2 linked regions of the Arabidopsis thaliana genome follow. The protein of the gene in region 2 interacts with the protein of the main gene of each other region in a pairwise test. Each region holds a gene or a part of one and is shown on either strand. Other genes may lie near its edges. The genes, in order: AGL92 and TT16.

Region 1 (4,307 bases), on a different chromosome or scaffold from region 2:
GTTCGATGCGTGCCACCTGAAGCTTCTCCTTTACTTTGAAGGTTTTAAATTATGAAGCCTGAGATGTTGTAAATGTATTAACATATTGCAGTTAAAGTACGAATTCATACAATTTTGTTCATAACTTCACGGTGAAAAGCAAATTTTTAATCCGGGAAAAAAAATTGATACGATTGATTATGATTAAATTTATTAGTCTCTTCCAGAAAATACTTTACAAAATAAGGTATATTCAAAACAAAAATGTCCAAAACCATAATCTATTTATAATATACTAGACTAGAATCATTTTAATTACTACTTTCTTGAAATCTAATTTGAATCTCAATTAGGTTACTATCCCGACTTCCATCTTTGAATGAAGCATTAGCTGTCATCTCGACAAATGATCAACTAACAGGTATTTTCACCAAGCCACTATCTTTTGCACACTTCCATTAAGTCACTAGCAAGATTGGAGTATAAGAAGTCTTCATTTAGAAGGGATCTATCTTGGTTGGATATGTACATATTATGGGCTTAAGGATAATTTGAAATTAGCACAAAGCCTTAATGAGTTTCCGTTTGTACATACTACCTAATAAGTATAACAAAATGGCAAGCTTCACTTCGTCTATCATCCCGACACTAATGAGGTTTTTTGGGTTGGATTTAAGTTCAACTGTGCCATCCGATACTAACACAAAATATTGTTAAAGGCCAATTATGCTTACTAACTCAAAGAAAATCGAACAGACCATAATTGTTTTCAATATAGCAAGTATAGAGATCAAATGGATCTTGATTACCAAAAAACTGTTCTTGTAAAAAATTTCATATACATATAACTCAATAAGGACCTATAACTTTTCAAAAGATTATTTTACCATATTTAAAAAATCTTTAACTAAACTTTTGAACATGACCTATATATATAGTTCAAACATCCTAACTAGACATATAAATAAAAATGAAAATTATTGGAGGGTCTTAATAAGATACTCCCCCATTATAATCATAACTAAAAAAAAATTTAAGATAGAAAGAAGAGAAAATTTCTCAAATAAGAACTTTGGGTATACTAACTAGAACTTTACAATTGTCTCTTTTTAATTGTTCATTTTTATTTTTAAATTAAAATTATTAAAAATATTAAGACTTTAAAAGTTGGGATACTTTTTTGGGATATGTGAAAACCATTGGAAGTGCTCTAAACCTCTTGTCAAATTTCTAGTTTCAAATATTTACAGCTCATAATTAGCTGGCAGTACAATGAATATTTTAACCAAATTAAGAAAAATATATGCTCCAAAAGGTATAATATATGCATGAATTCATAATTTATCTCTAAAATAACTGATTTTCTTTTATATCCAATCATGATTTTACACGTGTACATTAATTGATACGTTTTAATGTCATAAATAGTCATATTAGTGTATAAGTCAAAAGATGGAAAAAATCCATATATATTATTATATTAATGTATAAAGACAGTTTTACCCTTATTTCCTTTTAATTAAAATCAACTTATTGACTAAACAAAATTAGATGGACCTTCTGGCCATGGCAGATTTTTTAAAAATATTTTATTAAAAATTTAATTCATATAACTAAATCTGTGATTTTAATATTTTATAAGGAAAAATTTCTTTATTACTTTATTATTATTTTTTATATTTTATTATTGTAAAGATAAATTTTTATACATATAAAAGAGCATTTTTTATATATTAAAACATGATAGAAATTTTAATGATATTTATTATTTTATTATATTGGTTTACAAACTTTTTTCTATGTAGGCTTCCTTTAATGTCTACATATTTCAAAATTTTCGCTCGTTCTAAATATTTCGTAAGACACGTTAATTCTTTCCCGAAATAATTTTACTATAGATAAACAAAGTTCCTAAGCTTTTATATATTCATGATTTTACATGGAAATTAAGCTGTAAAACTCTATTCGAAAAGAAAAGAAAAACACTTAAAATATTAGAAATTTTCACAGTTTATCAAAGCTTAATATTACTCTTAAAAGAAAAGTGAGTAATATACGAAGATAAACTATATTTAGTAAAGAGAAAAGAGAATCCAATCTTAGTCATAGCTTTAATTAGTGGCCTAATCAATTAATAAGACAGTAGCCAAAAGATTTAATGCTGTAACTACAAATTAATGAGTCCAGAAACGTGATAAGCCACACCCTGAGTAAAAAATCACCCTTTTCGTTGCTATATAAACAGTCTTGGGCCAAGAAACTAAACAAACACAAACACCAAAGAAAAGAAAAATAAAGATAATGAGGACGAAGACTAAGTTAGTACTCATACCTGATAGACACTTTCGGAGAGCCACATTCAGGAAGAGGAATGCAGGGATAAGGAAGAAACTCCACGAGCTGACAACTCTCTGTGACATCAAAGCATGTGCGGTAATCTACAGTCCGTTCGAGAATCCAACGGTGTGGCCGTCAACCGAAGGTGTTCAAGAGGTGATTTCGGAGTTCATGGAGAAGCCGGCGACAGAACGGTCCAAGACGATGATGAGTCATGAGACTTTCTTGCGGGACCAAATCACCAAAGAACAAAACAAACTAGAGAGTCTACGTCGTGAAAACCGAGAAACTCAGCTTAAGCATTTTATGTTTGATTGCGTTGGAGGCAAGATGAGTGAGCAACAGTATGGTGCAAGGGACCTTCAAGATTTAAGTCTTTTTACTGATCAATATCTTAATCAGCTTAATGCCAGGAAGAAGTTCCTTACAGAATATGGTGAGTCTTCTTCTTCTGTTCCTCCTCTGTTTGATGTTGCGGGTGCCAATCCTCCTGTTGTTGCAGATCAAGCTGCGGTAACTGTTCCTCCTTTGTTTGCTGTTGCGGGTGCCAATCTTCCTGTTGTTGCTGATCAAGCTGCGGTAACTGTTCCTCCTCTGTTTGCTGTTGCGGGTGCCAATCTTCCTGTTGTTGCAGATCAAGCTGCGGTTAATGTTCCTACTGGATTTCATAACATGAATGTGAACCAGAATCAGTATGAGCCGGTTCAGCCCTATGTCCCTACTGGTTTTAGTGATCATATTCAATATCAGAATATGAACTTCAATCAAAACCAACAAGAGCCGGTTCATTACCAGGCTCTTGCTGTTGCGGGTGCCGGTCTTCCTATGACTCAGAATCAGTATGAGCCCGTTCACTACCAGAGTCTTGCTGTCGCGGGTGGCGGTCTTCCTATGAGTCAGTTGCAGTATGAGCCGGTTCAGCCTTATATCCCTACTGTTTTTAGTGATAATGTTCAATATCAGCATATGAATTTGTATCAAAATCAACAAGAGCCGGTTCACTACCAAGCTCTTGGTGTTGCAGGTGCCGGTCTTCCTATGAATCAGAATCAGTATGAGCCGGTTCAGCCCTATGTCCCTACTGGTTTTAGTGATCATTTTCAGTTTGAGAATATGAATTTGAATCAAAATCAACAGGAGCCGGTTCAATACCAAGCTCCTGTTGATTTTAATCATCAGATTCAACAAGGAAACTATGATATGAATTTGAACCAGAATATGAGTTTGGATCCAAATCAGTATCCGTTTCAAAATGATCCATTCATGAATATGTTGACAGAATATCCTTATGAATAAGCGGGTTATGTTGGAGAGCATGCACACATCCCTTTCATGGACGGAAACTACTACAACTACCACCAGCCACCAACCGTTGGTCTTACTTCCACCGGTCACATGCCTTCCACCACCACCACCACCACCAACAACAACAACAACAACAATGTGTGATGTGTTTCAGTAGTGTGCATTTTGTGTTTTGTTTGTTTTAAAAGACCAGTATTTAATTATGCTTTTCCTTTTCAATTAGTTGTTGTAAGAGTTGAAGGTTTTACCTTTAAGTCAGTTCTATTTCAATGAAGTCATTTCTGTTTGGTCACAAATTATTTTTTACGAGCTTTTTGTTCTTAAAATGCATAACTAAATAGATCTGCCAAAATCAGATAGGATTTTGTTTCCAAAAAACATCAATACTTTTCAAGCCTTCATTATGGTTAAATACTTATATGATTAAATATTTTGAAGAGAGTTCAGGACGGAAGTTGTATATATAGGAGGAGAAGTACCATTGAGTATATATACGAGGAGAACCATTGTTGAAATTGGTCGCAGTGAATCACTCTTGAACCGAAAAGAAGCGCTTAGAAATCAGATCAAATCCAAACACTCTAATCTTCCTCACTCGTTTCTTAATGCCACAAAGATCCAATATGGCAATGTAAACATAAACAGAACTAATTACATCTTTCTTAGTTTATGTTCTGAAACATGTC
Region 2 (5,397 bases):
TCTATTTAAATTTGTTAAAACATGATCACTGGAATGATTCCACTGTGTATATTCATATCATTAATAATTTTTGTTCTCAATCTTATCATGTAGGCGTAGCCTGTAGGCAGGTGTAGCGCTGCTAATTACTGAATATATATATATCTTATTATATAAAGTATGGTTTTCAAAGTTGCTAACTCATAGGATCGTGCCACGTGTCAAGTCAAACGATCAGATGTTTACATGTGTCATTCAAAATTTAACTTTTTTATTCTCTAAAAAAATAGAAAATCTTAAAAAGTAAACAAATTTACATATACTAATTTATATGTCTATATATTTATAAACAATTAACATTTATTCAAAAAAAGAAAATTAACAAATATGTGTTTAACTCATGTAATTATAAGTGAAAATAGAATATTTTGAGAAAAATAGCTTAGCTTATAAGATTTAACTTTTCAATTATTTTCATTTATTAATTTTAACTCATTTAATATTAATTTGCATGATGTAAAATTAGCTTACGAGATTACGGCATATATAAAAAATATATTTTCAACAATGTTTGGTTTCTAAATATTTTTGTGGATTTCTGATTTTCTATTAATTATTAAGCCTAGGCGTTTGGGTATTCGGATCGGGTATTTCGGGTTCGGGTTTTCGGGTTTAGAAGTTTATGACCCGTTCGGGTAATTTAAGATTTCGGGTCGGGTTCAGTTTGGGTTCGGGTTCGGGTTCGAGTTTATTTATATATTGAAATATCAAATTTTGTGTGCAAATCTATTAAATTATTTGAAATTTTCAAAAATTTCCAAAACAACACGAGTAGTTTTGATTGAATATTTCTAAAAATACACAAAAATAACTAATATATCCAAAAAAATCCTAATATTTTCTATATATAAGTATAAATGTAACTAATATATATTTATATTTGAGATATGTTTGGATACCTATTCAGGTTCTGGTTCGAGTTTTTTAGATTTTGAAGTTTAGACCCGTTCAAGTATTTAAAAATTTCAGGTACTCCCGCCTAAATAGGCGGGCCTTATCTAGTATATATATATATTTATGGCAATTAGAAACTATGAATCAAAGGATCTAGATGCCAATTTCCTTTTCAGAATTTCAGTGTTCGAGTTTCAGCATCAAATATATAGTAAATTATAATAAGAAAAAGATGTAAATGTCATCCTATTATTTAAATTTATATATTGGGAAGTAAACTTATTACCCACAACACTTTTATTGGCCTTGCTTTGTGTAGTGATGTTGTTGTATGAAGAGACACTTGTTCTTTTCTTATCGTGTTTTTTGAAACCATTTTATTAATGAAATTCAAATATACAATATTAGTGTAAGTGTGTAACTAATATGGATTGCGCTTTACAATCTTGTTTACTGAATTATGACTCGAATTGACAAGAAAAAGAAGCTATACTTTATTACATACTATAATCTAAATAAATTACACGTACATTGATGTTACTATAGAAATAAAATAAATTTTGGGGCTTGTATGTTTATGCATATATTTGATAGGCAGAGGAGTTAGGTAAAAAAAAATAAAAAGTCACTTTCAAGTATTGTTACACTTTGTCCTTTCCCATTTGGCTACTCTCTCTTTCTCTCTTTTGCCTTTTTCCTTTTGTGGTAACTTTGTTTTCCTTATAACATTATTTCATTAAGTTTCCATTTTCGTTTTTTCTCCGAATTACGTCATGCATGGCAGATCAAAGAAACTAATGTTCGATATTTTATAATTTTTTACTAAAAGGATCTTCTTCGCTAAAGAAATTACCAAACACTGCCATTACAAGTCTTGTCTAATAAAATTTCGTATTTAAGTTATTATTTGAATGTTTTGTAGCTTAAATTGTCTTTTGTGTTTGGTAGTTTGAAAATTGAGTATAAGACATCTTTGTTAACTTACTCAAAATTTAAACGAATTATTTTTTATATTTAAAATAACCTTAAAAGAAAAAATGCAAAGTGAATTAAAATATATTTTAAGAAAATTATTACTACTTTTTTAAAATTCTCTGTGAAATAAAAATAAAGAGAACATAAATATATAGAGAGGTTAAACGTGCAAATTAATGCGCACTAAGTGTATAATGCTGAAAGTAAATTATGACCACTATACGTATAATAACATTTAATTGAAACCCTAAGAAACATTGATATTATTAAATAGGTAAAGCCATTTTCACTGCCTAATTTACAGAAGACAAAAAAACCTTATACAAGAAGCAGAAGAAAGAGAAAATGAAATTAGAAAATGGTGAGCTGAAACAACACGCCACACACAGAATTATACAGAAACTAGAAAGTGTAATTAAGCATATTCTTACCCATTAATCTCTCACCTTTATTGTGTCATCCAACCTCAATCTCCGTTTCCAGATCCCCAAGAACACAGCTCAACAAAAAAGTACTTTAAAAAGACTCTCTTTCTCCCTCTATCTCTCTATATATATTTCTCACTAGCTCTTTCACACACACACACACTTTTTCTCTCTCTATCTCCTCTCTAATTCACACATCAAGATTCAAGAATCAACAACATCCTTGAAATGAATATTGTAATTAACTAATTCTAGGGTTTTCAGATTCTTGTTTTTTTTGGTTAGTTAATTAGGGTTTCTTTTAAGTTGATCTAGCTTTCATATACACTTGAATCAGGAGGAAGAGGGAGCCACTCATAAGAGGAAGAAGAGAGAGATGGGTAGAGGGAAGATAGAGATAAAGAAGATAGAGAATCAGACGGCGAGGCAAGTGACCTTCTCCAAGAGAAGAACTGGTCTTATAAAGAAGACTCGTGAGCTCTCTATTCTCTGTGACGCTCACATCGGTCTCATCGTCTTCTCAGCCACCGGAAAGCTTTCCGAGTTCTGCTCCGAACAGAACAGGTTAACTTCTTCTTCTTTCTTGAATTAGGGTTTCAGAGATCTATACATACATGTGTATGTATCCATCTAATTAATGAGGAAATGAGCTAGATATATGACTCGTGCTTGAGAACAGACAGTTTTCATCATTAGTTTCTGAAGTAGCAGGTGTCATGAGTCGTTTTTTGGATTTTCATTTGGCCCAGAAGTTAAGAATCTTTGATCCAATATTTTTGTTCTTGCAGTATTTAATTTGTATTTTCATGTATCTTATCATATTTAATACGTATGGGTCAAATTCTATATTTAATTTGTATTTGACATTTCTTGATCCAGCTTTTTCGTAATAAGACCCTAATTTTTTTTACTTATTTTTGTCACAAAAAAGACCCTAATTTATGTAGTATATTAATGTGTCATATTTACAACATAAACATACATACCGATATATATGTATAAGTCTCATGTTAATGATTCAATTTAGTACAATTATAAGTTTTAGTTCTAAGTCATGAACCAGATAAATAAGAAAATTATTCACATATAGCCATAATAGGAGAAGAAGGGTGTGCTAATAGTTTAAGCGTTGATTACACAAAAAATGGGTAAAACACCTTTTAAATTTGTTTTCTCCTAACCAATGTTTAGGCCAAAATATGGATTCTACCCTTCAGAACATTATTAGTTATTTTGATTTTTGTGTTCCTCCAGTGATTATTGAAGTCTTGACGTGTAGCATTAAAGATACTAAACTGATCACATTTTCATATTGAATAGGATGCCTCAACTCATTGACCGATACTTGCATACCAACGGATTGCGACTTCCTGATCATCATGACGACCAGGTATATATATGCACGCATACTTTTTCCTTTGTGTTACCAATTGACAACGAAGGAAATCACACATTTTCTTAAGAAACATATGATATATTCATTTGTATTTTTGTGTATAGGAGCAATTGCACCATGAGATGGAACTACTAAGAAGAGAGACATGTAACCTTGAGCTTCGTCTGCGTCCATTCCATGGACATGACTTAGCCTCCATTCCTCCTAATGAGCTTGACGGACTCGAGAGACAGCTAGAACATTCTGTCCTCAAAGTCCGTGAGCGTAAGGTAATGCAAATATATGTCCATATCTATACATATTCTTTTAAAACTATATTGGTTACACTTTTGTTTGATCTCTGCTATTAATATATTGAAGAATGAGTTAATGCAGCAACAGTTGGAGAATCTAAGCAGAAAGGTCACTCTCTAATCACTCTTTTTAAACTCTAATTTCATCTAATAATCTGATTATACCGCGTGTTTAATTATCATTACCGTGTTATGCATATGATCAGAGGAGGATGCTAGAAGAAGATAACAACAACATGTACCGTTGGGTGAGTTTGGTTACTAGCGAATGTCAATACGTTTTCACATTTACGTTGGTATAACATTTTTCTACATATACCGATGTTTCTCGCAGCTTCATGAGCATCGTGCAGCGATGGAGTTTCAACAAGCTGGGATAGATACCAAACCAGGGGAGTATCAACAGTTTATAGAGCAGCTTCAGTGCTATAAACCAGGGGAGTATCAGCAGTTTCTAGAGCAGCAGCAACAACAACCAAACAGCGTTCTTCAGCTTGCTACACTTCCTTCTGAGATTGATCCTACTTACAATCTCCAGCTTGCTCAGCCTAATCTTCAAAACGATCCAACGGCCCAGAATGATTAATACAATTCTCAATAGATATCTACTCTTTCTTTATGGAGACAGATTCATGAACTTTTATTACCTATATTTTGATAAGCCAGTGTCTTCTTTTGTGTGGCTATGGAAACCTTGTTTAAAGCACAATGCACTTGAGTTCTTGGTTATATAATTAATCATCATTATTACATATTTTCCAACTAAAGATCATCTGTTTATGTAATGAAACACCCTTGTTCTCCAAGTTATGTTTGTGAAAAAAAAAAGCTGTTGCTTTGATGTTTTGAAGTGAAGATTGGCCATTACCTGGAGACAGAGTGCAAGAGATAAGCAAAACTATTCTTAGACTATTAGCCGCAAGAAATACAAAAAATCCGGCAAATGTCTTATAGACTATTAGCCGCAAAAAAATAAAAAATAAAAAATCCCGGAAATGTCTTATAGATTACAAGCCGCAAAACTATTCTTAGATTATTAGCTGCCAAAAAAAAACATGAGGATCTTTGTAATGTCTGGTGGATTCAGACAGAGTGGATCATAATCCCGAAAAAAGCTCTTATAAAAAACTAAGCCATGATTGAAAACATTCCAATAACTTTTACAGAGGACTGCAAGAACGATCAAGAAGCAAGAAAGACGTTTCAGAAGAACAAACGTCTTCTTCTTGTTCTTCTTCTTCCTCCTCTTCTTTTTTTTGTTTTCATTACGACGAGAAAATTTGAGTTCGTGATCGCTTGAACAACCATCATCATCATCTAGAGCCCCAAAAAAGAAGAAGCTGCGGGCCGGTTATTTTGGTTAATTAGTCTAAAT

The links.
Region 1: the proteins of TT16 (region 2) and AGL92 interact in a two-hybrid assay, tested with the Arabidopsis thaliana proteins (one large-scale study listed by BioGRID).

What each region holds. Positions count from the first base shown.
Region 1 is NC_003070.9:11,322,150-11,326,456, reverse strand, and holds AGL92 (AGAMOUS-like 92), read left to right. Parts: upstream 1-2,280; coding exon 2,281-3,538; intron 3,539-3,628; coding exon 3,629-3,765; downstream 3,766-4,307. UniProt on the Arabidopsis thaliana protein: Putative transcription factor.
Region 2 is NC_003076.8:7,833,733-7,839,129, forward strand, and holds TT16 (K-box region and MADS-box transcription factor family protein), read left to right. Parts: upstream 1-2,232; 5' UTR 2,233-2,561; coding exon 2,562-2,570; intron 2,571-2,670; coding exon 2,671-2,897; intron 2,898-3,653; coding exon 3,654-3,723; intron 3,724-3,833; coding exon 3,834-3,998; intron 3,999-4,089; coding exon 4,090-4,131; intron 4,132-4,228; coding exon 4,229-4,270; intron 4,271-4,356; coding exon 4,357-4,608; 3' UTR 4,609-4,823; downstream 4,824-5,397. UniProt on the Arabidopsis thaliana protein: Transcription factor involved in the developmental regulation of the endothelium and in the accumulation of proanthocyanidins (PAs) or condensed tannins which give the seed its brown pigmentation after oxidation.